3 linked regions of the Danio rerio genome follow. The protein of the gene in region 2 binds, or shares a complex with, the protein of the main gene of each other region. Links are inferred from orthologs where the notes say so. Each region holds a gene or a part of one and is shown on either strand. Other genes may lie near its edges.

Region 1 (3,657 bases), on a different chromosome or scaffold from region 2:
ATACTTTAGTTCTCATCATATCATGACTATTTAAATGATCTCTAGTGTCTGACATGCCCCACCCCCTTTAATACCTTCTCATTTGCTTTTAAAAGGGTATATGCTGAAGCATCCTAATAGGACTTTTAGTTTGCAAGTAACCTGGGTTAAGCGATTCCGGTGAACTGTATGCCAATGCAAAATCGGTGCGTTTTTTTTTTTGCCTTTATTAGATAGGACAGCATTGAGACAGGAAGCGAGGTGGGAGAGAAAGAGGGTGGGTTGGTAGGGAAATGTCGTCGAGCCGAGATTCGAACTCGCGACCCCCTGACGTGCTATTGCACCATATGTCGGCACGCTAACCACTAGGCTATTGCGCCGACAAAATCGGAGCATTTTAAGTCTGTTTTCTTTACAAATCAGCGATCTCCACAGGGTGAATGAAATCCGATATAAAGTAGGTCTCAGATTGTACAAGAAACACTGCATTAAATTACATTTTCCCTGCCATGTCTTTATAATATGAGCATTTATTTTACCTCAATATATTCAATGGAGCTTCTGCGCTCGCCTGCCGATTCTGACGGGCGCATGCGAGTAAACAGCTTTTTGTCTCGTTTTAGGCTTGAGCAACTAAATGAATGCCTAAGTCTGTTTAACTGATTGTATTTGAATTACATTACAACATCGATGCTGTGAAAGGAACCGTATAAAATGGAAAAAACTCACAATAACAGGTCACCAGAAGTTTATCAGTATGGGAACACTATTGGCTGTTTTTTTTTTAAGAGGAGGAGCTACACTGTCCCACCCTCTCTTCATGAATTAAAATGCACATTACAAAGCACTTTACAGGACCTTTAATGGTGACTTACATCATAGGCTCGGTCAATGTGTCCGGCATGATACTCATCAAAGAACGTCATGAGGTCCAGCAAAAGGTAGAAGGTGTTGTCCACTGACTTCTCTCCAGCTACACCATTAGCACGGTACCTGTTAGCAAACAAATACAAGATACCATTGGGCTTTAATGTAACTACAGCCTAAACACTCAAAAAAATCCACACGATGTAACTTTTTTAAAATGATGACTAGTTTACCTCGGGGTAAAAAGGTAATTGCGAGATATTGCTTTAAATAAGAGAAGTCGCAAAGCATAATATAAAGATGTAAATCACAATCACATTTACATTTAATTTATTCCAAAGAGGCTTACAAATGAGGCCAAACAAAATTCCCCAAAAGAAAGATTTGAGGTGAAAGAGAGACAAATTTGTTTAGAAGAAAACAAAGCCGTAACTGGACGACAAAGTTGCACTTGGGAGAAAGCTGAAAGACATAAAGCTTTAACAGAGACATGTATGCAACGCTGATAAATAAAAAGGCAATAGTGAAGAAGTTGAAACAACTGAGAGATTTGGAGTCACAATTGGAAGATTTTCAATTGAGTGATATTAAATTGCAATTTATACAAAAGATGTAAAGTCATTAAAGAGAAATATACTGCATAAGCTGCTTGAAGATACAAAGTCACAACTTTTAACTATTAAGAGACAACTAAGAGATATAATGTAGAAGTCACAGTAGTGATAGCCACAATAGAGAGATACAAACAGTTGCAAACGGGAAATGTAAAGTCACAACTGGGAGATACAAAGGTCACTATTAGAAGATATAAATGACAGCAAATGGGAGATATATAGTAGCTACTGGGAGACATAAAGTCACTACTGGAGGTATACAGTTGCAAATACAATATTGACCACCTTCTGCAATACAAAAGTGTAATTTTTTTCTTTTTTTCCAACTTATTTATGCTATTGTTTTAGAGCTTCGATTCATTTGCCTATGGGAGAAATGACTAGGAATAATAAACGGCAGAAAACTATCAAACTGCTTGCTCTACAAAACAAATGTGTTCATGACTAAACATAAAAAGTAAAATAATTCATTCATTTTCTTTTCGGCATAGTGTCCCTTTATTAATCCGGGGTCGCCACAGCGGAATGAACCTCCAACTTATCCAGCACGTTTTAACGCTCTCATTCACATTCATACACTAAGGACAATTTAGCCTACCCAATTCACCTGTACCGCATGTTTTTGGACTGTGGGGGCAACCGGAGCACCCAGAGAAAACCCACGTGAAAAGGGGAGAACATGCAAACTCCACACAGAAATGCCAACTGAACCAGCCGAGGCTCGAACCAGCGACGTTCTTGCTGTGAGGCGACAACACTACCCACTGCATCACAAAGTAAAATAATATAAAATGAAAAAATCAGTTTGCAACATTAAGCAGCATAACAAGCTGTTATTAACATCTAAAAATCTACAGAAGTGAATGAAACCGGAAGTCTTGAGCCAAAAACATTCCAATGGCAGCACCCGCTCATATGTGAAGAATATGGTCAATACAAAGTTGCTCTTGGGTGATACAAAATAGCAACGGGGAGACGAACAAAAGTCTTCCAAACTGGAAGAATTTTAGTAAGATGTTAAGTCACTATTGAAAACGGGATATAGCAACTGGAAGACACAAAGTCACTATTGGGTGATATAAAGTCATGACTGGAAGATATAACTCTCCATTGGAAGGTAGAAAGTAAAAATAGTGCAATATAAATACAAACAGATTTGAGATTAAATCCGAGAGCTCCTTCATCTTCCATAGACAGCAATGTTGAAAGTCCAGAAAAGGAGTCAAAAACATTGTCTAACACTCCATATGACTTTAATGCTTCAACTGTAATCATATGAAGATCCAAGAACACTGTTGTGTGTCACAAAACTGTAAACACAACTTTGTTAGCCAGTGTCTTCTCTGGTCTGGTCATTAGGGTGCATGGTGCAATATGACGTATTAGTATTAGATTTTGTATTCCCCATATCTTTGCATGATTTGTATGTTTTTGCTTCCATTTCTGGACTTTAAACATTGCACAACCTTTGCTGTAAATGGAGCTTCAGACCGCTCTTTTATTTAATCTAAAATATCTCAATTTGTAGGGCGTCAGTGGATAGCACGATCGCCTAACAGCAAGAAGGTCGCTGGTTCGAGCCCCGGCTGGGTCAGTTGGCGATTCTGTATGGAGTTTGCATGTTCTCCTCGTGTTCACGTGGGTTTGCTCAAGGTGCTTCGGTTTCCCCCACAAGTCCAAAGACATATTGTATAGGTGAATTCGGTAAGCTAAATTGCCCGTAGTGTATGTGTGTAATTGTGTGTGTATGGATGTTTTCCAGTGAGGGGTTGCAGCTGGAAGGGCATTCGCTGCAAAAAACATATGCTGGATAATTTATTCCGCTGTGGCGAGACCAGATTAATAAAGGGACTAAGGCGAAAAGAAAATGAATGAATCTTAACTTGTTCTTCAAAAATGATTAAAGGGTGGAGACTGGAATGACATGAGGATGAGTAATTAATAACGGAATTTAGATTTTTGGGTCAACTAATACTTTCAGTTGAAATTTTGAAACTTGAATAGAATGTTGAAACTCATAACACATTTTAATAATTCATAATTGTTAGATTTAGTCATAAATAATAGTCGTAAATAGTCAGTTTAGTCATAATTTTTTTTTTAATGTTTAGAAATACTGGTAACACTTTACAATAAGGTTGTATTAGTTAATGCATTTACTAATGAACAATACACAGTAAAGCATGAATTTGAATGT
Region 2 (3,657 bases):
TGTGCTTAATGCATCAGTTCATTTAAACTGAGGTCAGAAATATTTATCATTTAAAATGGGGTGTCGAAACTCAGTCCTGGAGAGCCGGTGTCCTGCAAAGTTCAGTTCCAACCCCAATCAGACACACCTGGGTTAGGTAATCAAGCTCTTATAAAGCTTTCTAGAAACATCTTTACAGGTGTATCTGTAATCTGTAGGACACCGGCCCTCCAGGGCGAAGTTTGGCCACCCCTGATTTAAAGATTTAGTGCATTAAAATATACTCGAATGCATTTATTGTTCAAATTCAGTTGAACTTTTTTGTTCTGCTGAACACCGTGATATTTTTATCCAAGATTATCATACCGTCAGAATCTTATACCAGCCAATGCCTAATTTGACTCTCATTTATAATCTCATTAATAACGGATTAAAAAACAACAACATTTACAATGCAACAAAAAATGAGTTCAAAACTTACTTTAACATTCTCATGAACTCCCTGCAACTGAGCAGCAAGCGCAACAAATGTCTGGTATAGCTTCTGCATAGCCATCGACAAATCTACATGACAGAGGATATCATAAAGTTAAGTGGATATCAGAGCTAACACATGACAGTGCTTTGTTCAGTCTGGTATAACAAACCTTGAGGGGTGATGTGGGAGCCACTGCCCTGAGTGGTCAGATGATTCTCCAGTTCTTCAATCTGCTGACGGTACTGCTGTAACTGCACCTCAAACTGCTCCACCAGTGCCCGGAAATAGCTGGAAGGAAAGATGGAGTGCACATTAGTGCCATCAATTACTAACTGCTTTAAATGGAAGTAATAGCGCACAAGTTCACACTCACTCTGATGGTGCTGTGTTTTCATGTTGGAGTCCAGGCGGGGTCTTCTGGGTGCGAAGCGCAATATCAGCATTTTTCAATTCCTGAATGAAAAAAAAGACAGATTACAAGACTGAACAATACTCTGGGAAGTAATGAAGATGGTCCAAAAGACATGTTTGGTCTTACCTGAGAAGTTTCCAGCTTTAATTTATCTATGGAGAGGGAATTTCTCTGCAGCCCGCTGGCACAGACGGACAGGAGCTGTCTGAGCATCTTGATGTCCTCTTGAACTTTGAGAATGGGTTTAGAGGACATTCTGCTAATCTCCTCCTGGACTTGCTTCTGTTCCTTGACAAATTTCCTATGGTAAAATCAGGCACGTAGTTAGTCAAAGACAAAAAAAAGACATCTGATACATTCACATTTTAATTAATTTGCACATGGATTATATAATTATTTTGGATAATCACTTTGTAACCACAAAAAAAAAACAATAGAAGAGTAGGAACAAATTTGAACATAACCTGGATTTTCTTCATTAACAAAGGTGTCACTAGTATATTTATCACAATCTTTTCGATTCTAACATAATTCTTTGTCAAATACTGCTTTTCACCAACTACAGTGTTTGTGATGCAGCCAATCATTAAATCACTGACTCAAATTTTTGTTTAAAAACAAATGAGACGCACAAGGGTTCTTCTATGGCTTTGATTATATCCACCCTTTATTGGCAAGACTGAAAAAAAGGATTTAATATTGTGTCTGTAAAGTAACTCAATATTATCATTAAGGAAAGGGTCGGTGTAAGATTTTGACAGTATGACAACCTTGGATAAAAATATCATGGTTTCACGGTATCGTGATTACTGCTCTACAAAATGCCTTTTTTTATCTGTATGGGTGAAAAAAAAAACACACATTTCCCTTATTGAACAATATATTGTATTTTAAGAAACATTTCAAATATTTTGAACAGGAAACATGTTAGGCTAAATAATTAAAATAAATTATTGACTTCTGTTCTTTGCATATACAATAAGTAGCTATGGGCAGATAATCGATATTTTATCGAATCGTGATAAATTGTCCATAACAATAAGTTCTGGACTTTTTACTCTATATTGATCTAAGAGCCAATCACACAGCAGAAACATGGAACAATGGGAATCTAAAAGTGTGTTGATATTAGAGATGTAACGAATTTTTGCACACCGAAAATGTATTGGCTGAAAAATTATGCCATTTAATGGACCCTCTAGTTTTGCAGCTTCAGTCATTGTTGGGGTACTCTCTTAAATCTGGAAGCATTAACAACTTGTATCGAAATATATATCGCTATTGTTCAATATGGAAAACAATTATCAAGACTGCATTTTTGCCATATCGCCAAGCCCTAACAGTACAGTAAGCCACTGCAGTGTTCAGGTCTATAGCATACTTAGATGTTGGTTTATAAAAGATTTGTTTTTCAGATGTTTGCTGAATCAATAAGCTGACCAGTAGGGTGTCATAACAAACATGCTAAAAAAAAAACTAAAAAAAAAAAAACTTTCATATACCATAGGAATGGTATAACATAAAATTTTTGTGGTTTTAAAACCTTGACTTTTCCCAAACTGCTCTAAACCTTGAAACCGATAATCATTCCATGCCTAATTAGCATATTTTTCTGCTTAACTACTGAATAAAATTGACTTAACATTTTTGTTCAAGCTCATGCGTTGGATGTTCCTGAAAATGGCAATTCTGGCTTGTACGCCATTACAACATGCCATTAAAAACCCAATAACTATATAGGGGTATTTTTTGGTTTTCACTAATTGAATTATAGTGTCATTCACAGCAGTTAATTAGCTTCATCACACAATAAATGATAATTAATTCTAAAAATGTGAATGTATTTTTTTGACCCCATGTCAGCTTGCAAATTAAAATAACAACTATTATTGTTGATGATAAATATTGCACACCCCTTAATATGGGCAAGACCTAATTTTGTCTAGTAATGAATTAGCTTCACAGGTTACTGCTCCACCCTAATGCTGAAAGTTGTTCACTTACTGAAAATTGTCCACATCTTGACAGATCGGAGCTGGCAGGTTTTCATCTTTAAGGGCTTTACTGTCCCTGTAGACATTAACATAAGAGTAAGAACAAATACAATAAACACTAACGAGTCAGAGGTAACAGTGGTGTGGTTCTTACTCAGGTCTGGTGCTGGACAACTTGTCTGTGTTCTTTTCAGAGGAAGTACTGAAGTCTACTCCACCCAGGCCGAGACTGGGAGCAGGAGCTGAGGTGGTTGCGACAGAGGTAGAGACTAAACCGCCCAGACTCAAAGGTCCACCTAAAGTGGACTGTCCCAAACCTGAAACACACATTAAAATAAGCAAAAACACAAGTCAATTAATCACTAGTTAATCCATGCATAAATTAATGACAAGTTAAAATGAATTCAACTATCACAAAGGAAAAAAAGGCTGACCTGTAAGAGTGGGGTTGGAGAAAAGACTTGATCCAAAGGAGAAACCTGATGCAGGAGCAGAGGAAGTGGCTGCTGCTGCTCCTAAGTTGAGGGAAAAGCCAGTGGAGCTGGTCTGAGGAACTGTGGAGGTGAGGACGGATCCCAGAGAGAGGCCTGTTGCCGCAGGTGCAGAGGCGGTGGTGGTGGTTAGAGAGAAAGGTGTAGCTGAGGCCGCTGGCTTTCCAAAGCCCAAACTGAAGCCAGTGGAAGCAGCGGTCGAGGTGGTAAGACTCCCTATGAACAGGCAAAAAGACAAGAGTTTTGAATTGGCTTTCAGATAAGCTGAATTCAGGGCAAAACAAAATCAAAAAGTATTTTATA
Region 3 (3,657 bases), on a different chromosome or scaffold from region 2:
TGCAGATGTCGGTGGTCATCTCGTCGCCTTCATATACCTGCAGCTTTCTCTAAAAGTAATGCTCGCAACTGCTTGTATATACGTTTATTTTTTATTTGCTCGACGTAGTCGCAGGAATGCTTGATATTAAACAATGCCAGGATCCATGTTGCTATGGTGGAGCTCCATCCAGCTGATTGGCTCGTTTCATCCCATAACCGTAAAGCAGGAAAAGAAAAGCCTTGCTCTGTAGATTTGTTCGTTTTAGATCTTTAAAATGACTCCAGATTTTGGAGAATTGACAATCAATACAAATACATAAACTAAGAGGAAACCAAGCTAATTTTATTTTGAAGCAAATATCAAAAACAAAGACGTTCATTACATCTGACTGAAGAAAAAACAACATGATTATGCATGATCACTGGAAGTTTAAACGAAAGCTCTTCTCTTGCTCCTTGCTGCGGCTCTCACACAACTTTGAGACCTCCTCCACTCGCCTCTGAAGTAAAACTGCACATAAGCAAAATGTATGCAAAGGATTCAATGAAACATTCCAAAAAAGACTGTGTAGCGAAATATGTATCGAATTTAAGTGGATACTGACCTGAATTTTGCTCCACCCATTGTAAGGAGTCCATGTGTGCATTGAGAATTTTGCAGATCTGCTGAAGCTGGAAAAAAAAGACACCACAAGTCAGTCTTGGTCCAGGTAACAGCATTGATTTTTTACAAATATAGATTATATTGTGCATACCGGGTCAGCAGTGTCAGCGGGTCCACTGGAGGTGTTGAGGTGTTCAATAATCTCTTTTAGATCTTGGGACATTCTTTTGAGTTGAGCATCCACATTTTCAGCCAACTTGTACCTGGATAAAAGATTATTAGTATTTGAAGAAAACGTGAGCTTCTGACAGGGTTGATTGACACTACATTTACACTTTTTTTGTTCATTTAAACTTTTGTTTTGATTATGTCTGGCATCCACATAACTCCAGAGTACATGTAGACAGATCGGAACTTATGACAATGAAGCTGTTTACATTCACTCCCTAATTAGGTCTTCTGGATTTCAATTAAATATCAATTCAAGACCCTGAGGGCGAGTTAAACTTTATGTGATAAGCCTCAAGTTCAAGGAAGTGGTTTAAAATCAATAAAGTAGATTCTGTAGAAAATTTTAAAATATCAACATGGTTTTTTTTACTGTGTGTACAAACATTTAAAAGTAAATCCCAATATAGTTTAAATGTTTTACATTTACCAGTATATATAATTAAAAGCTTCTTTTCTATTAAAATATTTGGTTTGCTAAACCTTTTAAAACAAATATATAAATCTCAAATGAGAGGTTAGTTTAGCTTTAAACACAACCACCGGCCACTTTATAAGGTATACCTTACTAGTAGTGGACTGGCCCCCTTTTTGCCTTTAAAACTGCTGTAATCCTTAGTAGCATAGATTCAACAAGGTCCTGGAAATATTCCTCAGAGAATTTGGTCCATATTGACATGATAGCATCATGCAGTTGCTGCAGATTTGTCAGCTGCACATCCATGATGCAATTCTCTTGTTCCACCACATCCCAAAGGTGTTCTACTGGATTGAGAGCTGGTAATTGTGGAGGCCATTTGAGTACATTGAACACATTGACCTCAATGTCATGTTCAAGAAACCAGTCTGAGATGATTCACACTTTATGACATGCCGTGTTATCCTGCTGGAAGTAACCATCAGAAGATGGGTACACTGTGGTCATAAAAGGAAGGACATGGTCAGCAACAATACTCAGGGAGCCTGTGGCGTTGACACGATGCCTAAATTTTTACTAATGGGCTCAAAGTGTGTCAAGAAAATGTCCCCCACACCTTTACACCACCAGCAGCCTGAATCGTTCATACAATGCAGGATGAATCGATGTTTTCATGTTGTTGACACCAAATTCTGACCCTACCATTTGAATGTTGCAGCAAAAATTGAGACTCATCAGACCAGGCAACGATTTTCTAATCTTTTGTTGTCCAATTTTGGTGAGTGAATTGTAGCCTTTCCCGTTCTTTGCTGACAGGAGAGGCAACCAGTGTGGTCTTCCGCTGCTGTAGCCCATCTGCCTCAAAGTTCAACGTGTTGTGTGTTCAGAGATGCTCTTCTCCATACCTCGGTTGTAAAGAGTGGTTATTTGAGTTGCTGTTGCCTTTGTATAAGCTTCAACAAGGCATTTGTGCCCACAGAACTGCTGCTCACTGGATATTTTCTCTTTTTTGGACCATTTTATGAAACCCTGAAGATGGTTGTCCATGAAAATCTCAGTAGATCAGCAGCTTCTGGAATACTCAGAACAGCCTGTCTGGCACCAACAACCATGTCACATTCAAAGTCACTAAAATCCCCTTTCTTCCCCATTCTGATGCTTGATTTAAACTGCAGCAGATCACCTTGACCATGTCTAAATGCCTAAATGCATTGAGTTGCTGCCATGTGTTTAGTTGATTAGAAATTTGAGTTATTGAACAGTTGGACAAGTATACCTAATAAAGTGGCCGGTGAGTGTTTATCCGGGCACATGTTTGTGCCTACTATACAAACTAGACTAGTAAATATTGTTTTAATTTGTTTGTTTTAATTGTATATGACAATACATTTTTGTAGTTTTTAGATTATTACCCTGTTATTTATAATAATAATAATATTAATTACTGCCAACTTAAATGTGCATTTTTCGCTTGACAGAATTTCATAATATGCAAATGTTGTTTGTAATGAATACTTTAATTTAAATTTAATTTTATAACTATAAATACAATCTTTTACTACAATAAGAGTTAGTATATTTTCAGATTATTTAGAGGGTTCTTCTTAATACAGTTAACTTTAAGGGTTACTGCTAATTAAACCTGAATTTTTTCTCTTAATGCGCTTTAAAACTATGTGTTTAAAATGATTTACAATTTGTAGTGAATATGATTGTATATAGGCTACAATATTGTATTACAATTTTAGATCTAATTTTAGCTTCTGCCATGTGTTTTTAGTTGGTTAATTTAGTGTGGATGAAGATCTTTTCTGAAATCTCATGAAAAAGCCAATCTGACACTGATTGTTTTCATTTTAAAACAAACATTATGTTAAAATGAAAACACAGCCGGGTAAAAGTGGCCAGACATCTGCCAGTTTATGTTCTTACGTTCTTTCTCGTTCTTCATCTGCATTCTGCATGTATATGGTTCCACTTTGCTCCTTCACGGACTCCTCTAACGGACTAAGAAGATCCTCCAGCTCTTTCTGCTGGGAAAGGATAAAGTCCAGTTCTTGATCCAGCCTGTGGGAAAAACACAGAAATGTTTTTAACAGTAAGATTACAGCATCTAACAGCAATACAAGCTGTCTGGTTAAGTCCTCCATGAAGACACTGATCATGGTAATGATTTCTCACAATAGTTGTCAACAATGATTTAACAAGGTAGGAAACTAAGTAATATCAATATGCAACACTTCCATAAATCTCTGCAAGTATTAACATTTTCAAATGATTACTTCTCCAATATTTTCACTAGCCACTAACAATTTTAGACAAATCATGCACTACAATGTACCATGTTGGTACAGAGGATCAATTGTGTAACTAAATCAACTTTCAGATTTTACTGAAATTTTCATCAAATTGACAGCATTTTTAAC

What was found. The genes of interacting proteins can lie anywhere in the genome.
Region 1: nup58 (region 2) and nup93 share a complex: the UniProt entries of both Homo sapiens proteins name them as parts of the p62 complex. The link is inferred for Danio rerio from reciprocal best matches to the Homo sapiens genes NUP58 and NUP93.
Region 3: nup58 (region 2) and nup62l share a complex: the UniProt entries of both Homo sapiens proteins name them as parts of the p62 complex. The link is inferred for Danio rerio from reciprocal best matches to the Homo sapiens genes NUP58 and NUP62.

Annotation. Positions count from the first base shown.
Region 1 is NC_133193.1:18,957,366-18,961,022, reverse strand, and holds part of nup93 (nuclear pore complex protein Nup93), read right to left. Parts: intron 973-3,657; coding exon 855-972; intron 1-854. UniProt on the Homo sapiens protein: Plays a role in the nuclear pore complex (NPC) assembly and/or maintenance. May anchor nucleoporins, but not NUP153 and TPR, to the NPC. During renal development, regulates podocyte migration and proliferation through SMAD4 signaling.
Region 2 is NC_133199.1:28,984,901-28,988,557, forward strand, and holds part of nup58 (nucleoporin p58/p45), read right to left. Parts: intron 3,571-3,657; coding exon 3,298-3,570; intron 3,181-3,297; coding exon 3,018-3,180; intron 2,940-3,017; coding exon 2,874-2,939; intron 1,171-2,873; coding exon 996-1,170; intron 911-995; coding exon 831-910; intron 746-830; coding exon 627-745; intron 544-626; coding exon 461-543; intron 1-460. UniProt on the Homo sapiens protein: Component of the nuclear pore complex, a complex required for the trafficking across the nuclear membrane.
Region 3 is NC_133189.1:11,218,685-11,222,341, reverse strand, and holds the end of nup62l (nucleoporin 62 like), read right to left. Parts: intron 3,299-3,657; coding exon 3,164-3,298; intron 849-3,163; coding exon 737-848; intron 654-736; coding exon 587-653; intron 493-586; coding exon 401-492; 3' UTR 304-400; downstream 1-303. UniProt on the Homo sapiens protein: Essential component of the nuclear pore complex. The N-terminal is probably involved in nucleocytoplasmic transport.